3 linked regions of the Neodiprion lecontei genome follow. The protein of the gene in region 3 interacts with the protein of the main gene of each other region in a pairwise test. Links are inferred from orthologs where the notes say so. Each region holds a gene or a part of one and is shown on either strand. Other genes may lie near its edges.

The links.
Region 1: the proteins of nuclear factor NF-kappa-B p105 subunit (region 3) and akirin-2 interact in binary tests that used the Drosophila melanogaster proteins (3 or more experiments, as listed by UniProt). The link is inferred for Neodiprion lecontei from reciprocal best matches to the Drosophila melanogaster genes Rel and akirin.
Region 2: the proteins of nuclear factor NF-kappa-B p105 subunit (region 3) and protein grainyhead interact in binary tests that used the Drosophila melanogaster proteins (3 or more experiments, as listed by UniProt). The link is inferred for Neodiprion lecontei from reciprocal best matches to the Drosophila melanogaster genes Rel and grh.

Annotation. Positions count from the first base shown.
Region 1 is NC_060263.1:15,142,402-15,149,194, reverse strand, and holds akirin-2, read left to right. Parts: upstream 1-1,511; 5' UTR 1,512-1,762; coding exon 1,763-1,931; intron 1,932-2,821; coding exon 2,822-3,015; intron 3,016-3,110; coding exon 3,111-3,273; intron 3,274-3,377; coding exon 3,378-3,388; 3' UTR 3,389-3,434; intron 3,435-3,560; 3' UTR 3,561-6,175; downstream 6,176-6,793. Other genes in the region: arrestin homolog, read left to right, coding at 6,691-6,757. UniProt on the Drosophila melanogaster protein: Molecular adapter that acts as a bridge between a variety of multiprotein complexes, and which is required for embryonic development and for normal innate immune response.
Region 2 is NC_060260.1:39,038,074-39,042,862, forward strand, and holds the start of protein grainyhead, read right to left. Parts: upstream 3,019-4,789; 5' UTR 1,515-3,018; intron 2-1,514; 5' UTR 1-1. UniProt on the Drosophila melanogaster protein: Transcription factor that binds a CNS-specific regulatory element of the Dopa decarboxylase (Ddc) gene. Also interacts with sequences adjacent to other transcription units, including Ultrabithorax (Ubx) and engrailed (en).
Region 3 is NC_060260.1:2,031,195-2,039,033, forward strand, and holds the start of nuclear factor NF-kappa-B p105 subunit, read right to left. Parts: upstream 6,026-7,839; 5' UTR 5,935-6,025; intron 5,754-5,934; 5' UTR 5,688-5,753; coding exon 5,609-5,687; intron 4,832-5,608; coding exon 4,685-4,831; intron 4,597-4,684; coding exon 4,451-4,596; intron 4,335-4,450; coding exon 4,171-4,334; intron 4,076-4,170; coding exon 3,934-4,075; intron 3,814-3,933; coding exon 3,672-3,813; intron 3,594-3,671; coding exon 3,489-3,593; intron 3,344-3,488; coding exon 3,232-3,343; intron 3,000-3,231; coding exon 2,875-2,999; intron 2,785-2,874; coding exon 2,596-2,784; intron 2,470-2,595; coding exon 2,396-2,469; intron 2,324-2,395; coding exon 2,084-2,323; intron 2,014-2,083; coding exon 1,890-2,013; intron 1,808-1,889; coding exon 1,563-1,807; intron 1,469-1,562; coding exon 1,313-1,468; intron 1,156-1,312; coding exon 1,054-1,155; intron 969-1,053; coding exon 732-968; intron 640-731; coding exon 520-639; 3' UTR 1-519. Other genes in the region: protein BCL9 homolog, read left to right, coding at 7,309-7,317. UniProt on the Drosophila melanogaster protein: Transcription factor that plays a key role in the humoral immune response as part of the peptidoglycan recognition protein (IMD) signaling pathway.

The sequences.
Region 1 (6,793 bases), on a different chromosome or scaffold from region 3:
ATTCAGGAATGTTACTCGTATTCCAAAAATCATCAAAAACGTGATTTTTTTAAACATTTTACTATTTCAACATTTCTCGCATCTCAGGGGCCAAAAAGTGCATGGTTGAGATACTTTCCGCAATTCCGGCAAGAATGAGAAATAAAATGAGACATCGCAAGACTGCTTTCATGCAATATTAAGGCCGCTCAACGAAAACTAGGATTTACGGTAATTTTGTAGATAAAAGACGCTCTCATGCTGTGCTGGGGCGACCATACCAACCAAGGAACTTCGCGCCCAGCTGATCGCTAGAGCATTTTTTATTTACGAAATTATTTGTATCCCTAGTTTTCGTATAGCGACTTCAATATTACATGAAAACAGTCTCACGATGGCTTATTTTAGTCCTCATCCTTTCTAGAATTGCGGAAGGTATCTCAACTGTGCACTTATTGGCCCTTGAAATGCGGGAACTGTTTAAATAGTAACGTGTTTCAAAAAACCACTCATCTATTTAATGCTTTTCAAGATATGAGTAACATTTTTGAATTCCGCCATGAAAGAGCGATGCATCGTCGAAACTTCAAGCCTTTCCGTTCATTTGTTGATTTAATATTGGAAAAAAAGGGATGAGTTTGCTTGGTCGGTAAGGGTAGGCTGTCACAGGACCTTAAATTAAAGATTGAAATGATTTTTTGTAACAATACAGTTCCTCACAGGCCTTTGTAAAACAATAAATGATCTTCAAATTTATCACATGCAAATCATTTTATATTTTAAATATGTCGTACGGAAACTTATATTGATTTTGTTCCTGTAGGGCTGAATTTGCACAAGGTTGTTAAAGAAATTTTTATCATGAAGATACGTACAATTCTACGGCCTAGACTATCAACAGACCGTATGGCCTAATGGATAAGGCGTCGGACTTCGGATCCGAAGATTGCAGGTTCGAGTCCTGTTACGGTCGAGGCAAGTTTTTTAGTTCTTCAAACAGTGTTTTCACACAAGTAAATTGTGCAGCACATTCGAAAAATTCAGATTATCGTTTCAAAATCGATCCTGCAAATCCTAAAAGATTCGAAGAAGTTTGTTTTGCAAATCGATGAAAATTCAAATTATCCTTGAGCGGATGTCAATTTATCGCGCATTTTTTCAGCGTTCTATTTTCATTTTTAACTCTGCCCAGTTTCGAAATCTATTCTTTGCATTTGCAAGCATCATTCTCTGCAGTCAGTTGGTCGAGATATGATTTTTTGCCATTCCGTGCATCTTTAACGCGTGCGTGCAATTTGCGTCAGTCACGTGCGACAGCTGACAGCTGCATCTGCATACCACGTGACTATTGCCGGCGCTGCCGTAGGCTGAATATCGAATGAACCGTTTCGATCGGCCACCCCTGCCCTTCCTTATCGATGCAGCTGCGTCGTGACGCACGATGCAACGGCTCGACCAATGAGAAAACGCGGAGAGATGACCAATGGCAGACTAGGCTAGGTAAACGTTATGGAAAATGTTCAAGTCGCTGCGGCTGACGAAGTGACGACGGAGGAGGCCATATTGTTTTACTGCAGTGTTTGTTTTGGTGCTGCGGTGGCCAGTCTTAAAATCCAGTTGAATCAGCCTGGAAACTTGTCGAAAGTCTTCGACGAGACCGCTAAACGAAAAGGGAATACTGTGCAATTTGTAGTACCGATATATTTTCGGGAAATAAAACGCCTTTTGCGGTTCCTCGGCGATTTTTTGGTGTCAGTCGCGTACGAGACTGTGAAGAGTAAAAATGGCCTGCGCCACCCTGAAGCGATCACTCGAGTTCGACCCCGTTCACAGCCACGTAAGGCCTTCGAAGAGGCGAAGATGCGTACCGATGTGCATGTCGCCAAACACACCGCCGGCGAGGAATCAGAACCCATCAGCTTTCGGCGAAGTTACACAAAAATTGACGCCTGGTAATTATATTCGGCCATTTTTTTTTTTATCACGGGGTGTTAAAGGGGGAAGCTAGCTGCAAACGTAGATGTATAGCGATTTAAAACCCGTATATACTATGGCCGGAGGCGTGAAGTGGGGTGAGGGGAGCGCAAATCATATGGAGATACCGACGTAACGGTCGCTGCTGATTTTCACTATTTTTACAAACAGCTTTCAAACTGGTTTTCCTCCACTCATCGCGCAATTTGAAATATACGTTAGAATGACCGTTTTTCTTCACAAAGTTTTTTCTCATTCGACAATTCCCCTCATCACCTCGGTGTTCAAACGCGCTTCTATGTCACTAAAAAAAAATTCCCCATTGTGTGAGTTTTGCGTACCCAGGCATTATTTCATTCAATAATGTCGAAGTTCGAAACGGGAGAAAAAGGACCAAGCCGAATCGTATGTTTGTAATCTTCATTTACGTATTCATCAGACATAATATTAGCATTTCCATGCTCAGTCTGATGCGTTACCACGAATCTATTGAAAATACCCATCAAAATTCGACCACCGTAAAGGCAGACTATTGCAACTTTACTATTTGCATAACTGTGAAAATTTTGAATGAATGCATGGAGTTTGTTACTCAACTTGTACATTTACATGAGAACTAAGCCTTCTTACTAACCTCTTTCAGCCATTACCAATAACTTGGAAATGATGTTGCAAAGACCTAATATTGTTTCGGTTTTCTTATTTATTATTTTCAAGTAATTTCACAATCCGTTATTTGAACATCATCAATCAAAACAATGCCTGGTTGCAATTGTGATTGCGATCCGTCAGGCTTGGTTATTCAGTCTAAGAAACTGAGGTCAGGTATCTGAATTGTTTACACCAATGCCGTAAAATGTTTTCATAGAAAAAATGGCTGCCAATATTAGAGAAGAGATCCGCAGGCTTCACCGGCGCAAGCAGCTGCATTTCAACCCGCAAAACAACAATGGTGGAGATTCTTCAGATACTGAAGGTCCAGCCAGTCCATCGACTAGTGGGCCTAGTGCTTACAGTCATAGCCCAAGCGGCAAAGAAAAACCACTGTTCACATTTAGACAGGTGGGTGTATTTTCAAAATAAAGAATGAATGGATATCGACATAATTGTGAGATCGTTTATTTGCTACAAATAATGGTTAACCAACTTGTGTTTAGGTGGGATTGATCTGCGAGCGGATGCTGAAGGAACAGGAGACGCAGATCCGAGAAGAATATGACCAGATTCTCAACATGAAGCTCTCCGAGCAGTATGACGCATTCGTTAAGTTCACCTATGATCAGATTCAGAAGAGATTTGAATCTGCGGCTGCACCGAGTTGTGAGTTATTGAATACTTGGAAACTTGTAAACTTGTAAACTCCTGATTTCAAGACTGGTGACTCACATGCATTGTGTTTTTTCTAATGTTTGATAAATTTGTAGATTTGTCCTAAAGGAGATTTGCCACTTCCACGGATGTGTTTCTTCAAAGAACGTTAGGTAAGTATCCTAGCATGTATATTCTGTAAAGTTGAATCGTGACTTTACATGATAATCGTCTAGGTAATGCGGCGAATGATTCAATTGTTATTGTCAAAAGATACTCTAGTGGTTTTCTCATTACAGATTTCTATGATATAAGTGAGAAAATAATTTTGCTTGGAGTTATGAGGGAAGAAATGCGCGGTGATGTTACCTCGCTGTGGAGACATGGGTTGATTAAATTTGAAAAGTAATTTCATTCGAAGTATAAAATAAACAGATGCAACAAAAAACATAATTAAATAATTTAACAAAAATATCAATAAATAAAAACATTTCAAAAAAGGTAATGAGGTGTGCGTATATATATATATATGTGTGTGTGTACCCTGACATATATGTATATATATGCGTATATAGGAAAGTAAGTTATAGAAGTAGGCTCACTTGCGGAGAGCGACCAGACTAAAAAAAATCGACAACGTATACTACTAAATTAACCATATTTGTACCATCCGGTTTTCAAAGTACGCTGTTATCAGGGAATCAAATAGAAAATTTACAAAGCTAAAGTAGCACAAGTATAAAAGTATTTGTAAATAAATTGCATACATGTGATCTGGTATTGATACTACATACACCGTGGTGGTGTGAATTTCCTACTCTTCGAATTTCCTGAAACCAATTTTTGCAAATCAACTGTAAAGCCTCTCGATAAGGATCTGATTACATACGATCGATTGTAACATCAATTTCTCCCAACTGATCCACAACAATTAGTAACGTACGGAATAAGATTGGTGGTGGTCAGAGTTACTTTGAATATCGATCAATGATGTGAAATCTAAGGTGTAACGTGATTTATTGATTTCGTCAGTCCCGATGAAATTTCTCTTGCAACAATTGATTATGTTATAATCATTTTCTAATATTTTTATTTCTCTACTCTCGCAATTATAATAACAAGTAAAATCTGCATATTTGGATGGTGATATATAGGTATATACGTTTTTGTAATGCTATGTTATTAGGTCAATCTCAAAATTATAAAGAATGTATTTTTTAACGAATATATTCCCTTATTTCGGGGTATTGCATTCATACTTTTATTAGAGCTTTTAATTTGTCATCTTGACCTTTCCCTCTTTAAACAAAAGTTTTCTGCTGGTAGATAAATTTTTCATCCTTGCTTTATTTTTTCTCTTTGATTTTTCCTTCTTATTGAAATGTAGCATTTATAAGTGTATTCTTAAATTATACGCGTTTGAAGAAGTAGAAAATTTATAAAAAGAACTGTGCACCATGCTAGGGCGAAAATTCAAAAAGAACTGATACTGTTTTCACATTATTGTCATTATTATTATTATTATTATTATTACTACTATTATTGTTGTTGTTATAATTTTTTCCCTGACAACAGCAACTTGCCATAGCATAATGAAATTAAATGCAGAATAATGAATATACATACTATTACCCATACATTTACTGTGCCTATTATTAGACATATTTATTACAATTACCCAACACTGCTATAATTATTACTTATTACTATTCATCGTAATTAAAAAAAAAAGAAAAATAATATTGGAAAAAAAAATTATTTTTAGTTGATAATGATTCTACATATGCGATGTTCGTTTTTTTTCTTTTTTACGTATACATACTATTCATATATATAGGTATAAATTAGGCGCATAATTGTCTCAAGATGAATCCGATAATGATAGTTCGTCTTGGTTACCATATATATTTCTCTGCTATTCACGCCGTTCAACAATTGAACGAAAGATGAATTCTAAGTATCAAGGAAGAGACTTAGCAAAAGAGTATGAGGAGTTTATGAAAACAGTTATTTTTTTTTTGTTGAATGAAAATTTAAGGAGCCGTGCTTCGTTATTTGCCAAATTGAAATTCGTTAAGTTTTATTCGTTCGATCAACAGATACTTGAAACTAGTTGACTGGAGAACAAAAAGTAGTTAAATACAATTCGCCAATAATATTTGAATTTTGGGGCGTAGTGACGACCTTGTTATTCAATACCAGGCAAGAATGCCACATCTTCTGATCTTATTACTGTATTTAGTTCAAGTGATAGCATAGTAACTTTTGTTGAGCTAAGAAAAACTTGTGGAACGAGAAACACTGCGATCCTTTGAAAAACGACTCGTATTTATCGTAGTACAACAAGGGATTAAATACTTGTACAATTATCTTATTACTCCTGCAAGACTATGCTGAAAACCAGATAAACTGTCATAGCTATTGTAAAACCTTAGGTAATAAATGTAAATTAATGATTGTGTAAGTCTTGAAATCAACAAAAGTTATTGCGCGAACTGTACGTTATAATAATTTTAATATTAAGAAACGTAAATAAATAAAAAAATGGAAATTGTACGTAGTATTTCGTCAAGCAGCATAAATGTATCCTGATGACAAGGAAGAATAAGTTACAATATTGTGAAGAGAAAAAAAATTATGAATGATGTATAAATATGGAAGGGAAAAACAAAACGAAAAAAAAAAACAAAAAGAAATACAAATAAATTTAGTTAGTATATTGAATAATGAATAATACCTAATACTAATGATTAATAATGATTATATTAAGAAGCAACGATGAAGAAAACAGCTAAGGTAAATTCCTTGGGAGAAATCAGGGAAGATTTGATTTCAATGATTAAAAATACCTCCATATTAATATTATGTAAACACTTATTAATGAAATAAATATAAACCTTAAGACTGATCTTTATCTGACTATCTATAAATAATTCCACATCCACTTTTGCTATGCTTCTATTTGTATAAAAATTTTAGCCCGCTCTTGTAAAACGTTCCAACGCAAATAATCAATGTAGATCTAATTATCAATAGAAATTCGATTTCGAATCGTTTCACCCCTCTAAACACGGCTTGAAATACTGAAGTATGATCTTAATGAAAGTAGCTCTAGTTCTTAGTTCACTGAAGAGTACTTTAACTATTCTAAGATACTGTTGTCGCAGACTCTGAAGAATGGAGAAAGAAATTGTCATAGAATGGGATGGAAGACGTCACAAAGCGAGCCAATTTCTTGAAATTCCTATATTCCGATCCTGTTAAGAGACTTATTCAATAGTATAATCGCATTAGTCTGGATATGGCTTCGTAGTAAGAAGCCCCATTAGATCTATAAGAGTAGATGTACGTCAGAAGGCCTCCGTCACTTCTGGGCGGGAAACAACGCTCGGTTACACAGATTCTTTACAGTCCGACACTATCGGTCAAATGTTTCCTCTCTTGTTCTTGGCCTATGTCGTGGCCATCAAGGTTTTCAAGAAGACTACTCCAAATGGTGAGTTTCAAGTACCATCCAAAATACTTCCAGCAC
Region 2 (4,789 bases), about 37 Mb from region 3:
TCTGCGGAAAGAGAACAAGGAAAAGAGACATTGACCTGGGTTCACTCGGTTGGCAAGACACATCGTAGGTATTACAAGGACTCGTCAGCGATCGTCCGATCTCGTCTTTTTCCCCTCCCGATCCATACAATTCGAGTTACACGATCTTCTTCTCCCTGCAGCCTCGGAACTGGTCTCGGACCCAACAGGTTTCACCTCCGCAGGTTTCGTTTGGCCTACTCCGAAAATCGGTAACAACTCACGCGGGGCGGGGGGGGGGGGGGGGGGGGGGGGCCGGGCACGGGGACCCGTCGGTGCAGGTAGAGGAGGACGTGGATCGACCGGGAATCAGGTATGCACCTGCGGCCCGCCGGTCGGGACAATGAGGAAGGAAGGCGAGGAGGATATTGACTGCCGGTGAAGATCGGCTGATGCGGAGGGAAAGAGAGAGGGAGAGACGAGATCGACGAGGAGCCTAGGATCGCGGTGCGAACTGTTAAATGCTACCGATCGAGGAAGAGAGAACGAGAAAAAGATCGGAGGGGGACCGAGTGGCGGGTGGTGTTGCAGCACCATAGATTATACAAAGCCGCGTGCGAGCGAGGAGCAGGTTAGGCCGGTCTAACCTGATTCCGAAAGGGACCCTGCGTCAGGTTGTGGGCCCACCTCTTGCGCCTGTTTGTATTTCAAGTATAGGTAACGGAGCTCAGGTACGCCCTCGCCACCGCGACCGCGACCGCGGCCGACGTCGTTGCCTCTCAACCAGCGGCAGCTCAACAAACGGAGGATGGACAGTGTGCCGAAGAACCAGAAGCTCCGGACTTGCCCGCTCGCGTTTACCAACAGTGCAGTGTCACCAATTGCTCCTGGTACCACCGAGTGTCGGACCCTCCCCGCGTAAAACGACTACCGCACAGTGCCAAAAAGTTTGCAAGCATCCTTCGGACCTGACTTTTCTACCTCTTGCGATTTACCGTCATATATATATATATATATATATATATATATATACATATATGTATGCATGTATACGTATATGTGTGTATAAACATACTACTGGTCGTCTAATTGCGCGCATGGAATTCGATCGATCTTCAGCCGTATCTGGTACGTTCGATTCTTCCTCGATGTTGTGCGATGGTAAAGGTGTCACGTGATCGGACCGAGGAACGGATAAAGAGACGCGGTGTATCCGAGTCCGGGATAATTAGCTGGTGATAGAGAGTTGGAATTTATTTGAAAAAATAAAAAATAAACGTACGTGACCGAGAGGCTGCAGGTATCAGTGTACGATGTTAGTATCTGGATACAAGGTGGAAAAGTAAAACTACGCATCATATTTTCGTAACATGCTATGGACAGAAACAATAATATCGTGTGATGTGAATCGAAGAGGGCGCTGGATCGTCGCTCCGTAAGTCCGCGGCTATACAATTACTGATCTTCGTTAAAATATTACCCACGCTAGTTTCAATGCGTCGCAGGATATATAATATAAAATAACAATGTACGGTATAAGGTGTAAAGGTACTCACTCGTTTGGGTTGCATTTAGTTAAGATCGAAGGTGTGATTCCTCTCGGCTGGGATGCTGATGCAGACGGGAGGCTGCATGTTCGTGGGATAGGTGAACTACAAACTACCGGCTATCTCCCAGTCTCTGGATCACATCTCCGCGGTTTCTTCTCTCACGCTTAGCTATACCGGGCCCGTTCTTAATCGTTCATCCAGGCTGCTGCTGCTGCTGCCGCCGCACTGCACTCAAGTGCAATATCGTCGCGCACCTTTCGCGGCCCCGCGTTCAATTTCGCAGTAAGGCCCAATTATTATCAGCTGTCCGCGTTTCACGCGTGCGATAACTCTGCCGCACGCTTACTGGTATACATGTATATATGTATAATACGCGTATATTGCACGAGGCGTTGCAGATCCAACTTTCCTCTCTCTATCTATCTCTCTCTCTCTCTCTCTCTCTACGCATATGTCACTTTAACACAATTATTACTCCCGCCGTGAGATTGTTGTTTGTTTGTTTTTATTTTTTCTTGTTTCTTTACGTGTCAAAATTGAACGAGGTACAGTACTGCTGCGGCATAAAGAACAACAAGAACAATAAGAACATTATAGTTTAGTTCCTTTTTTTTTTCTTTTTTTGTTATCTCGTTTCTTTTATTATTATTATTGTTATTGTTATCTTTGTTAACGATGCTCTGTTGTTGTTGTCGTTGTTGTTGTTGTTGCTGTTGTCGTCGTCGTTACGACGATTATTCCCCTTCAAAATCAAACGACACTTTTAACACAGGTATAATTTATTCCTTTCTTCCACTGCAGGCATTACAACCGTATATGTATGTATATATATATATACAATAATGCACGCGCGGTTTTTATACGAATAACACACACACACACACGCGTAGCTATAGTCCACGTGTATGTATACCGCAGGAATTGCATGTACGAGATACGTCGATGCGTACAGCGTACGGTATAACGTAGACGAGGTGTTTATACATCGATTGATCGGCGACGCACCCGCGGACAAGTTTAGAGACAGTTATAAATGTACACAGATGACACAAGGCATTATACATACATACATATATATATATATGTATATACACACACACACAAGCACATACACATACACACGTACACACACACAGGCACGCGCGGTTGCACGCGTAGGATGGTCGATACAATGATGTTGTATATACGATCTGTGTATATTAGACGTGCAGGGAACCGCGTGATTAGGTATTTTCGCGTAGATCAAGTGTATACAACGCGTATATTTAATCCTGGCGCGTTTTTCGTAATGTTCGCCCGTTAACGGAGGAGCGAGTCAGACGATGATCCAGAGGCTGGATGAGTGGATGTGTGACTACCAGCGTCCTGCCGGACTGCGGAGGCCAGCCTGGGCTTGTATATTCCACACCAAAGTTGGGGCCGCTGATCGTGAGCTGGTGGCTACACAGGGAACACGTATAACCGAAGGAACGCTGCTCGGAGGACCTCGCCGGAGTCTCTTCTCTCGGGAGAGGCAATATGGCCGCCCAGCATCCCGGCCCTCTCCTCTCCTCTCCTCTCCACCTCCTCCCCCCCCCCCCCCCCCCCCCGCCCGCTACCGCCACCCCGCGACTCGCTCCTCTCGCTCCGCCGCCGCCGCCGCCGCCCTCCTTCCTACCTCTAGGCATTAATCCCGTCGCGGTGTTTCTCCCACTCACCCCTCCGCGCAGGTCGAGAAGGAGAAAGAGAGAAAAAGAGGAAAACAGAGAGAGAGGGAGAACGGAGAGTGAGAGAGAATCGGGCCCGGAGGCTGCGGCGGAGACGAGAATCGACGCGCTGCAACAGCAGCGGCAGCGGCAGCGTTCAGGTAGCCCGGCAGCCGCGCCCGACGAGGAGGAGAGGAACTCGGAGGAGTGCGTGCGATGGGCAGAACGGAGTGGTGGGAGAGACGGAGGTTCACGCGTTCACCAATACAGAGAGCTGCGGATCCCCGTGAGCCGCAGGACGAAAACGCTGAGGTCGGGCTTGAAGCAGGCGGTGGACGGCGGTCGTGAAACGGCGCAAGATATGACGGGTACGAAACGCCTGCGTGCGATGCATGCCGCCGCGGTGCGGATATCGAGGAGGAAACTGGTAAGGATATCCAAAGACGCGGGCGTCGAGAGTCGTCGAGCTAACGAACGAACGCGGTCGGTCCGCTCTGTTCGTTGAAGGAGGAGGAGGAGGAGGAGGAGGAGAGAAAGAGAGAGAGAGAGAGAGGGAGAGGGAGAGAAGACAACCGACCGCCGCGGGGACCAAAGGGGCATTATTTTATTGTATCCTCCGTCTCTCATCTCGGCACCGCGGCTCACATCTCTTGACGAGGATAACCGCGTGGTACAGCTCCGCCGACCGTAGACGAAGATACCTCGAATCCATGTGCGTTACAATACGCACCTATACGCGTGTATTACACATCGTTACTACAGACACACACACGCGCGCACGCTAGCGCGCGCGGGCGGTAGAAATTTTCTTCCTTGCGCGCGAGACGTTCACCGTATAGCAGCTATATAGTGGGTGGGGTGAGAGGCGGAGTGGGGGGATAAAAAGGCGGGGGAGACGGCGGCGGGACGGGGGCGATAGGGAGGGGGGGGGAAGGGTTATCGAAAGAGTAAAAATAAGAACGCACGACGTCGGACAAAATTAAAAGACGAAGCGAGATGTATAACCTAATACGCGCGCAACCGTGCCTGGCGACTGTGTGTGCGTGTAATACGTATACATGTATAATATAAAAAAGTAAACGATAAGAGGTATACGGTATACCTATATATGTATATATATGTATATATATATATATACACGTGTACGTGTAATATTAAAACAGAAATAAAATTGAATAAGAGAAACAAGAACGACGCGATGGAAGGAAAGAGAAAAAAAAAAATATACAAATAAAAACACTTTTACACATAGGTGCGCACCCAAGGGGTAGAGAGGATATAGAGATAAATACCGGAGGCTGCAGAGTAGGTATACAGCTCCTCCGATCCGACGCTGCGGACTGTAACACAACTTCGTATCACACGTATATCTATAATACCTACGTAAACGCTGTATAGGTACGCGATATTGTAGATGTGTTGTAATTCGCGTAGAATTGTATATTCCATTTGTATAGAAAATTTTCAATTGCACGCGTATACAACAATCGGTATATTTGTACATATGTACATGTAGTTCAACTACAATCGCGAACAATTTGCTTGTGAGGTTATACGCTGCACGTGTGTGTAACCTATCGCACAGATATTTGATAT
Region 3 (7,839 bases):
TATGATTCAAAATGATAAAATACTTACATGCTATATTAAATGGCAGGTTTATATATTTTGAAGTTAAATGCAAATTCTTCTGACCATCTTTTTTCAGATATGTAATAATAATAAGAGAGTTATAATAATGTTGATATACGTTGACAGTAAAATTATACACAAACAGCTATTTTATGTAGTAAAATAATAATTTATCAGCTAAAAGAAACATCGATTGGTTCAGAATTATAAAAACTATGACTTGGAAAAATGTTCAAAGTTCAATCTATAGTCCTCACTCTGGCATATATAAATTTTACATTCTTATTAAATTAAAATATCCTGTTTCTGTACTTACAAATGCGAAACCTCAGTGTATACTCAATATTACCGGTATTTTGTAATCAATTAATCAGCTATTTACATTAATCACGCGAAATTATAGCAAACGTAATCTGGGATATGCTTTTATTATTACCTTATTAAGTTTTTGGAGTAATTAGCTGATTTTAAAATAGCTATATGTTGCTGATGTTAAATTCATTTTGTACTTGATGTATTCCGTCGCAAAATCATCTCATCGATTATATCAACAGCTTTAGTTTCATTTAATTCAACCAATAACGTTCGTAATTTTTTGATCGAAACTTCAGCTTGTATCTAAAAAAATAATACAAGATACAGCTTATTAAATTTTTGCATATAATTCGTATGACAAAACCAACGATAAATAAAGTCATCGAAGTACTTACGTCTAAGTAGTTTAATAACATCCGCGATGGACTGACGGGGCCTGAAGTTTCGAGCGAAGACTGCAGAAAATCATATCCCAAAGATGTGACGATTTTTTCCCATGCCTTCGATTCGTCGAGTATGGGAACTAGAAGAGTCATAGCTTTTTCGTCCAGCAAAGTACCGTCACTTTCCTCGGGTACGTCCTCGATTTCTTGTTTTATTATCGTATTAGTCGCAGAAAGCAATTGTAAAATCTGTAATTATTTCCGTGGCATTGAGACCTTAGTGCGTAGCCATACACGTACAAAAGCGTACGATTTTTCAAGGAACCCAATTTACCTCAGGTTTGTTTGATGCGAGGTCAAACGACGTTTGACCACTTTCCTGGGCATCTTCATCATCGGATATCGCTTCATCTTTTATAGTTGTTGTTTGCAACTCCTATGAATTTAATAACAGGACGAAATGAAATTTTTTTGTTTTAATTATCAGTACAATTATCTACGAGTCTTCGCGGCAGTCGAAGGAACAGGATAATCTCTTTGATCTTAACAGCTTTGTTGATCGCAAAAGATTTCTAGAAAATAAAAAAACTCACTTTCGACGAATCGCGATTATTATTAGGTATCGAGGGATTCGCCCCGTGATTCAACAGAAGCTTGCAGAGCTCCTCAGCTCGTTCGCCGGTGTTGACGACAGCACTGTGCAGCGCGGTGTTTCCACTGAAATTCCGCTTATTTACGTCGATTGTCGTCTGTGGAGAATTGACATACAAAGTGCTCAGAAAAAGTATAAAATAGAGTTTCAACGATTATTTTGATTTCACAATATAAATTAACACTACCTACCTTTTCTAACAGGAATTCAACGATTTCTTTGTGGCCACCTTCGACGGCGATGTGGAGTGCTGTACGCCCGTAAGACATATCGGTACTGTTAACATCAACGCCAGCTTTGACAAGAGACTTGACAGCGTGTAGCGATCCGGCTTCAGCAGCCAGATGAAGAGCGGTCCAGCCAGTATCATCTCGTGTTTCGACGCTTATACTTCCTCCTTCTAATAGTGCGTCCACACAGTGACCCGCCTCTGGGACTGTTTGGGACACAAATAATCGATTAGTATGCAAACAATTAGTTTATTCGTTGGGAATAAATTATTTCATCAATTCACGCACTTTTGACCGCCTTGTGAAGCGGTGAAAAACCGTGATCATCGCACGCGCTTGCATCCGCCCCAATCAAGAGCAGAGCCTTTGTTACTGCAGGTTGGTTTTGTTCTACGGCGTAATGTAAGCATGTCTAAAATATAGAGCAATATTAGTGAATTGAAAATATTACATTTCCGCGGGTTAATCGTAATAAAACTTACACGGCCAGAACTTGTTTGAGAGTCGACAATTTGCTTGAAATCCGGGTACTTTGCAAGTAACATTAGAATATATTTAACTAAATTCATTTGTCCGTGTCTTAGCGCGGAATGGAGAGGAGAATCTCCATAGACTGTGCGCTCTTTGAGCAACGCTAGTATGCGTTCCTTTCCATTTGGATCATTTTTCTGAAGTATAATTCGAATTTGTTTTACAATATTCTCCGCAAACGAAGCCGTTTCCTGAAAACATGTAAACATTATACAATTGTTTCTTCTTTGTCATTTTGATACGACTAATTAAATGTTGCTTACTTTTTTTTTCAAAGGCCCATCTAATCTCAGTTCTTCATTATCATTTACTTCCTTTGGCAGTAAATTGATGTACTCTGGGGATAAACAAAGATTTACACATTTTGTATATAACTCATCATCTATTCACCGTCTATACTGATGGAAAAATTTTTGAAACATGCGAGCATAACAAACACGTGTCTCGGTGTTTAAGTGCTCACCTTCTAAGTCCAGATTTTCAGAGTATTCCCGAAACTCGTTTGATGTACAATGCTCACTCAACAATTTGTTGATTTCACTTGAATTATTTACGTTGAAAATGGATGTGCCTTCATCCGATTGCATGAGATTGATTGCGATAGGAGTTTGTAATTCAGTACTTTCGCAAGACATGCGCGGTCTCTTTCTACCTGTTCATAAATCAGGACATGTCAATGTTTTTGAATGAGAATTGGAAGCGAATATATTTGATGATAGTACATGTTGCAAATACGCCTTACCGATGCGGTTATTGGGTTTATAAGTGAACTGTAATGGATCGCTAGACTCTCCGTCAGTCGGTCTGCATAACTTTATAAAAACCTCTTTTGGTTCAGTTATATCTTTGTCTTTATACGGTGGCGTTCTGAAACACAAGTGATATATTTACAAAACGAATATAAACCGACCCTTAATTCTCTGACAGCAGTTCAGGGTGTTTTTTACTGTTACCCGTACATAAGACAGGTCCGCATATAAGACGAGGACAATTTTGGTGGGTGCTGTCAATGATTAAAAAAAACCTCGGCTTATATTTGGGACAATACGATAATATTCTGTCAATTTTTAATTTATAGTAATTGAATGTTCAAACTGACCGAAACACTATCGCGTATTGATGATGAACATCTAACTCTGTGAAGTGGCCTAAAGCGCTCCAAATTTCTACATTGTTTTCATCCATTTCAAAGAATTTGATTACGATGTTTTCTGTAACATAAGAATGAGAATCTGAATACATATGGGACAATAATATTAATTCGATTAATCTTTCAACAGAGAACTTAATTCACTTCCAATTCAATATTATCTTTATTAAAACTACAATACGAGTTGTATAAACAACGATACTCACTTTTTCCCACTTTTTCTACCAGCATGAAAACTTCCTCGTTACCATCACAAGATCCTGCAGTTTTGTCGATTCTACATATCTTGAGCTCTCCCGTAAGGGCACTTTCTGTAATAAAAAGAACAAAAAATGGCAATAAAAAAATTCTGGTACCCAAATGATAGATGAATGGTCACTTCTACTCACTGAGATTATTAATCGGGTTCGAATACACTGGTTCTGTGATGGGACAAAGTACGCCATTGGCATTTGGGGTAAATGCTTGAAAGCATAATGCGACACTGTTCAGACTCATCCATTTTTGAGCAGCTTCTGCTTCCATTTTAATCTTTAACAGAAATTTTGCGTTCAAAGTTGAGTAAGCTAATTGAACGAAATAATTTGATATGCATAATAACATTGTATAATGTACTGGCAATGTATTATTATACAATATTTAATTTATTACCGTTGCTTCATCGCGGATGGTCAACGATGTGACATTAACATTTTTGCGTTTTGCTTCTTCTAAAGCCGTAATTCTTTTCTTTTTAACAAGCTCATCTTTTATGTGCTTTTTAGCAGTGTGGATGATCCCCATTCCGTGGAACCTAGATACAAGCTTAAGTTTTATGAATACATACTCCAACAATAATGAAGATAAATATTGTTGTCTTATGAATAAAAAATTAGACTGTTCACTTACGAGACTGTAAAACCTTGTTCGGGTGAAACCTTTTGCTCGTGCGGATCATCTTCGTCTGAATTTCCAACACGGCGTACCAGACGATGAGCATGTGGTCCCCTACGATCTGGATCTGCTGTTACAAGCGTACAGCGAATGACGGCGCTGCCTGGATAATTTTTCAGCTGGAACACCAGTGAAATAGTTATAATTATTTTATGACTAAACGAAGATAGCAAAAACGATGAATTGGAATATTTCAACAGGCAGATTCAATGAAACTCTGTTATTTTGTTTATACCTCAACAGTAGGTGCTTGCTTCTTGCGGCTGTTTGAGCTGTTGGCGCCAGCAAGACTCCCGTGGGTTCCCATCATCTCTGATTTGTATCGGAACCGAAACTTGTCTACTGGTTGTTCAATAATTTTTATATACCGGTCTTCCAACACTGCGAAGGTACAAGTACCGTAATATCATCACATTTGAATAAAACATTATGAAATTAATTTATTGAATAACCAAAAAGATGTACATACTCGTGCCAGTTACATTACTCAGTGTATAGTATGACATTGTGTGGTTTGGCGATTGTGATATCGACATCGGTGACGGAGTGCTGCTGGTCATTTGTGAATCCAGTGAGCTGTTGCTCGGACTCAACAGGCTGAGATTATTCATCATAACTGCACAAAGACATGTCAAATAATTCCACAATTTCTCCATTAAGATATTATTCGACTTGTTACAAGTGAACAGGCCATTTCTTTCGAATTGTCATAAACAAATCAGTTAGTGTAAACTTGTATACACGATATATTGAAATATCAGCGTTGCACTGATTGCTAAGGGAGATCGAAGTACACTTTGTCTATTCAGTTCAGATGTACGGCAACTGGTAAAATTAAAAGGTATCATAGGTAATTGTGGTTTTATAATATTGAACTACCGGAATCATGGATCTCGGTATATGTTATTGCGACACCTCTTATTACTGAAATAATGAATCACAGCTCTGTGCCTAAATCAAATAAAGAAACTGTACAATTTGTATTCTGATAAATTCCACGTTGGTAACCCAGAAACTATTTAGAGTTTGTTAGCATGATTATATACACCAGTGCGCGAATGAATATGTCGTACGTATTTCGGTAGTCAAAAAGTGGTTTATGTGTACATGGGAAGTTACAAGTGCATAATTTTATCATTAGTGCAAATCGAACTGAAGTCATCTCCGTTCTAAATTTCTGCAGTATATCACAGCAGAAATATTTAAGTAACACAATATGTACCATTGACTGAAAACATAGCGGAGGTTTCAGCATCAATTTGAACAAACGGAAGCGAAATTGGAGAAATGATATGAATAAAGAGAATGAAATTAGGAAATGGTTGAAAGATTGTACCCAGTAGCATCCTGGAAATATGATACACAATCTCAAAAAGAAATTTCGTCTAATTACCATCAGGAAACGGATAAATCTGATCCTCCTGTTGATTATAGTTCTGGAAGACGTCCAAGTTTTCGTAAACTTGCGGCATGTTTATTTGGTACTGTTTTTCTTTTTGGTTAATCGTAATTGCTACGCGAACGCGGCGCCGATTGCACTATAATCAAAATAAACTGCGTCGTTTATACCTTAGTTTATACGTGGCACAAAAAAGACGTGAACTATTCTCCACGCGCATAAGCGCAACGTAGAGACGAAACTAGCGCGGTGATTATTTTTAAGGAGAGAAACAAGGACCGTTTCGATTTCAACTTTACAGACCTGGATGTGTTACTCACCGTTTATCAACTAACTAATACTTTTCGCATACGTCAACGACATAACCTTGATGGATGCACTCCGGGTTCTTCCCCGAGGATACGGTCCAATCAGCTCCAATCATTCCTCCCCGCCCTGGTCACGTGGTCCGGTCAACGATTTCCGAGAAGGATGGGGGAATTCCCCCGTCCTTGTTGTTCACGCAGCCAGGCGCGCGCACGTGACGCGTGTTCAAACTTAGTCGCGGAGCGTGCGAAAAATTATACATTGAATAAGATATGTAAACGAGGTTAAAGCATAAATTGATGAATTGTTTCACTATACTGCTATTTGCATGCTTATTAATCCAGCTGTATTTATATATCAACAAGTAATAATATGTATATATGGTTTGCAGTAGGCCAGCACAGGTTTCCAATTGATGAGTAATTTTATTACACGAATGAAACGTCGCTAACGAAATTGAATGATTACGATATTAACTAGATTTGTATGCCGTTGACGTTGAAAAGAATTTAATTTCAAAACCGAAAAGCAGGCAACCCGCATCCCTTACCAAGAGTGACCACTAATTAGTGGTGTAGATGTCAAACATCATACAACGTCGGTTTATGTACAATAGATTTTTTACAATTTCGTTTTCATCATAATTTATTTGAATTTATTGCGTATCAGTTGAACTTCAGAAGAGATTTCATACCCAATGCGCACGATAATCCTGATGGGCCACTAGGCGCCAAAAATAATGAGCTGTAATGATATTTCACAGACTTGAGCATGTCGATTGATATGAATTTTCTGTACGGTTCTGCGAGGAATTCATTCCCAGCATTTTCAGCCGTGTAGAAATTGATTATTGGAAGTAGGAGGAAAGAAAAATACATGCTAAAGTGTCAGAAACCGTTGCGTTCGATTTTGGATAGAAAATTTGTTTGCAACCGACTTTTAGTAAGGGTGCCTCATTACTGTGATTCCTACAATCAGTCGGTTCGACTAGCCCTAATGAGAGGATTATATATTACCCTATTGGCCAAATTTGAGGTTTCCAGTTTATCCCCTCCCTGGGACTCCGCCAATGACAAGATGCTGGGCTAACCCAGGTCTAAAATCAGATGCGTATGTACTTGTTGAGTAGTCGGTACCCGAGAGCCGAGGTTGCCAGTTTTTGTGTCAACAGTTATGGCGACGATTGTGTCCCCGATCGTGTGAAAATAAACTTACCGCTCAATTTTGGGGCTTTATTTCTTTTGCAATAATCATTGTATCTCTCTTGTACGTCTTTTGACATGATCGGCGAATGATAATTGTATATTTTTAATAATTCGCTACGTATGAACAAAATCACCCACACGCATCTCTAGATAATTACTATAAAAACACCCCCCGGTCGAAAAATGTCAAAGGTACTTTATCCTTGTAATCACATGTTTACAAACAGATACAACATACTGTGTGAATTTAATTTCCATACTGTTTCAAAGGTGACACACTTGTTGGTGGAATAAACCTGTATCATACATTGCTATTCTTGAAATTCATTCTGAGCATAATTCGTCAACCAATTTCTCAAGGATTACTGAGTTTAATCAATCATGTAGATGTAATGAGATTCTTAAATTAATTGTGAACAAGGCAAAAATTATAAAGATTGATAAAGAACCATCCCTATCAGTGCAAAATAAGATGTAGAATCATTGTTATTAGTACTTCCATATTATTGCCATGTGTATAAACCAATTCGTGTACAAAGTATTCAAAATCTGTTTCTGCTGGAAAAATAACTGTACATTATGCAACAAGGGAATAAAGTCGAACTCGCTTCGCTGAGGCGATAAGCCCACCCGCGCGGATAACCGATTTTTATCCCTGTGTTATTGACTTGAGAAATGGGACTCGATATTTTTCGCAATATTGTCTTTAGAATT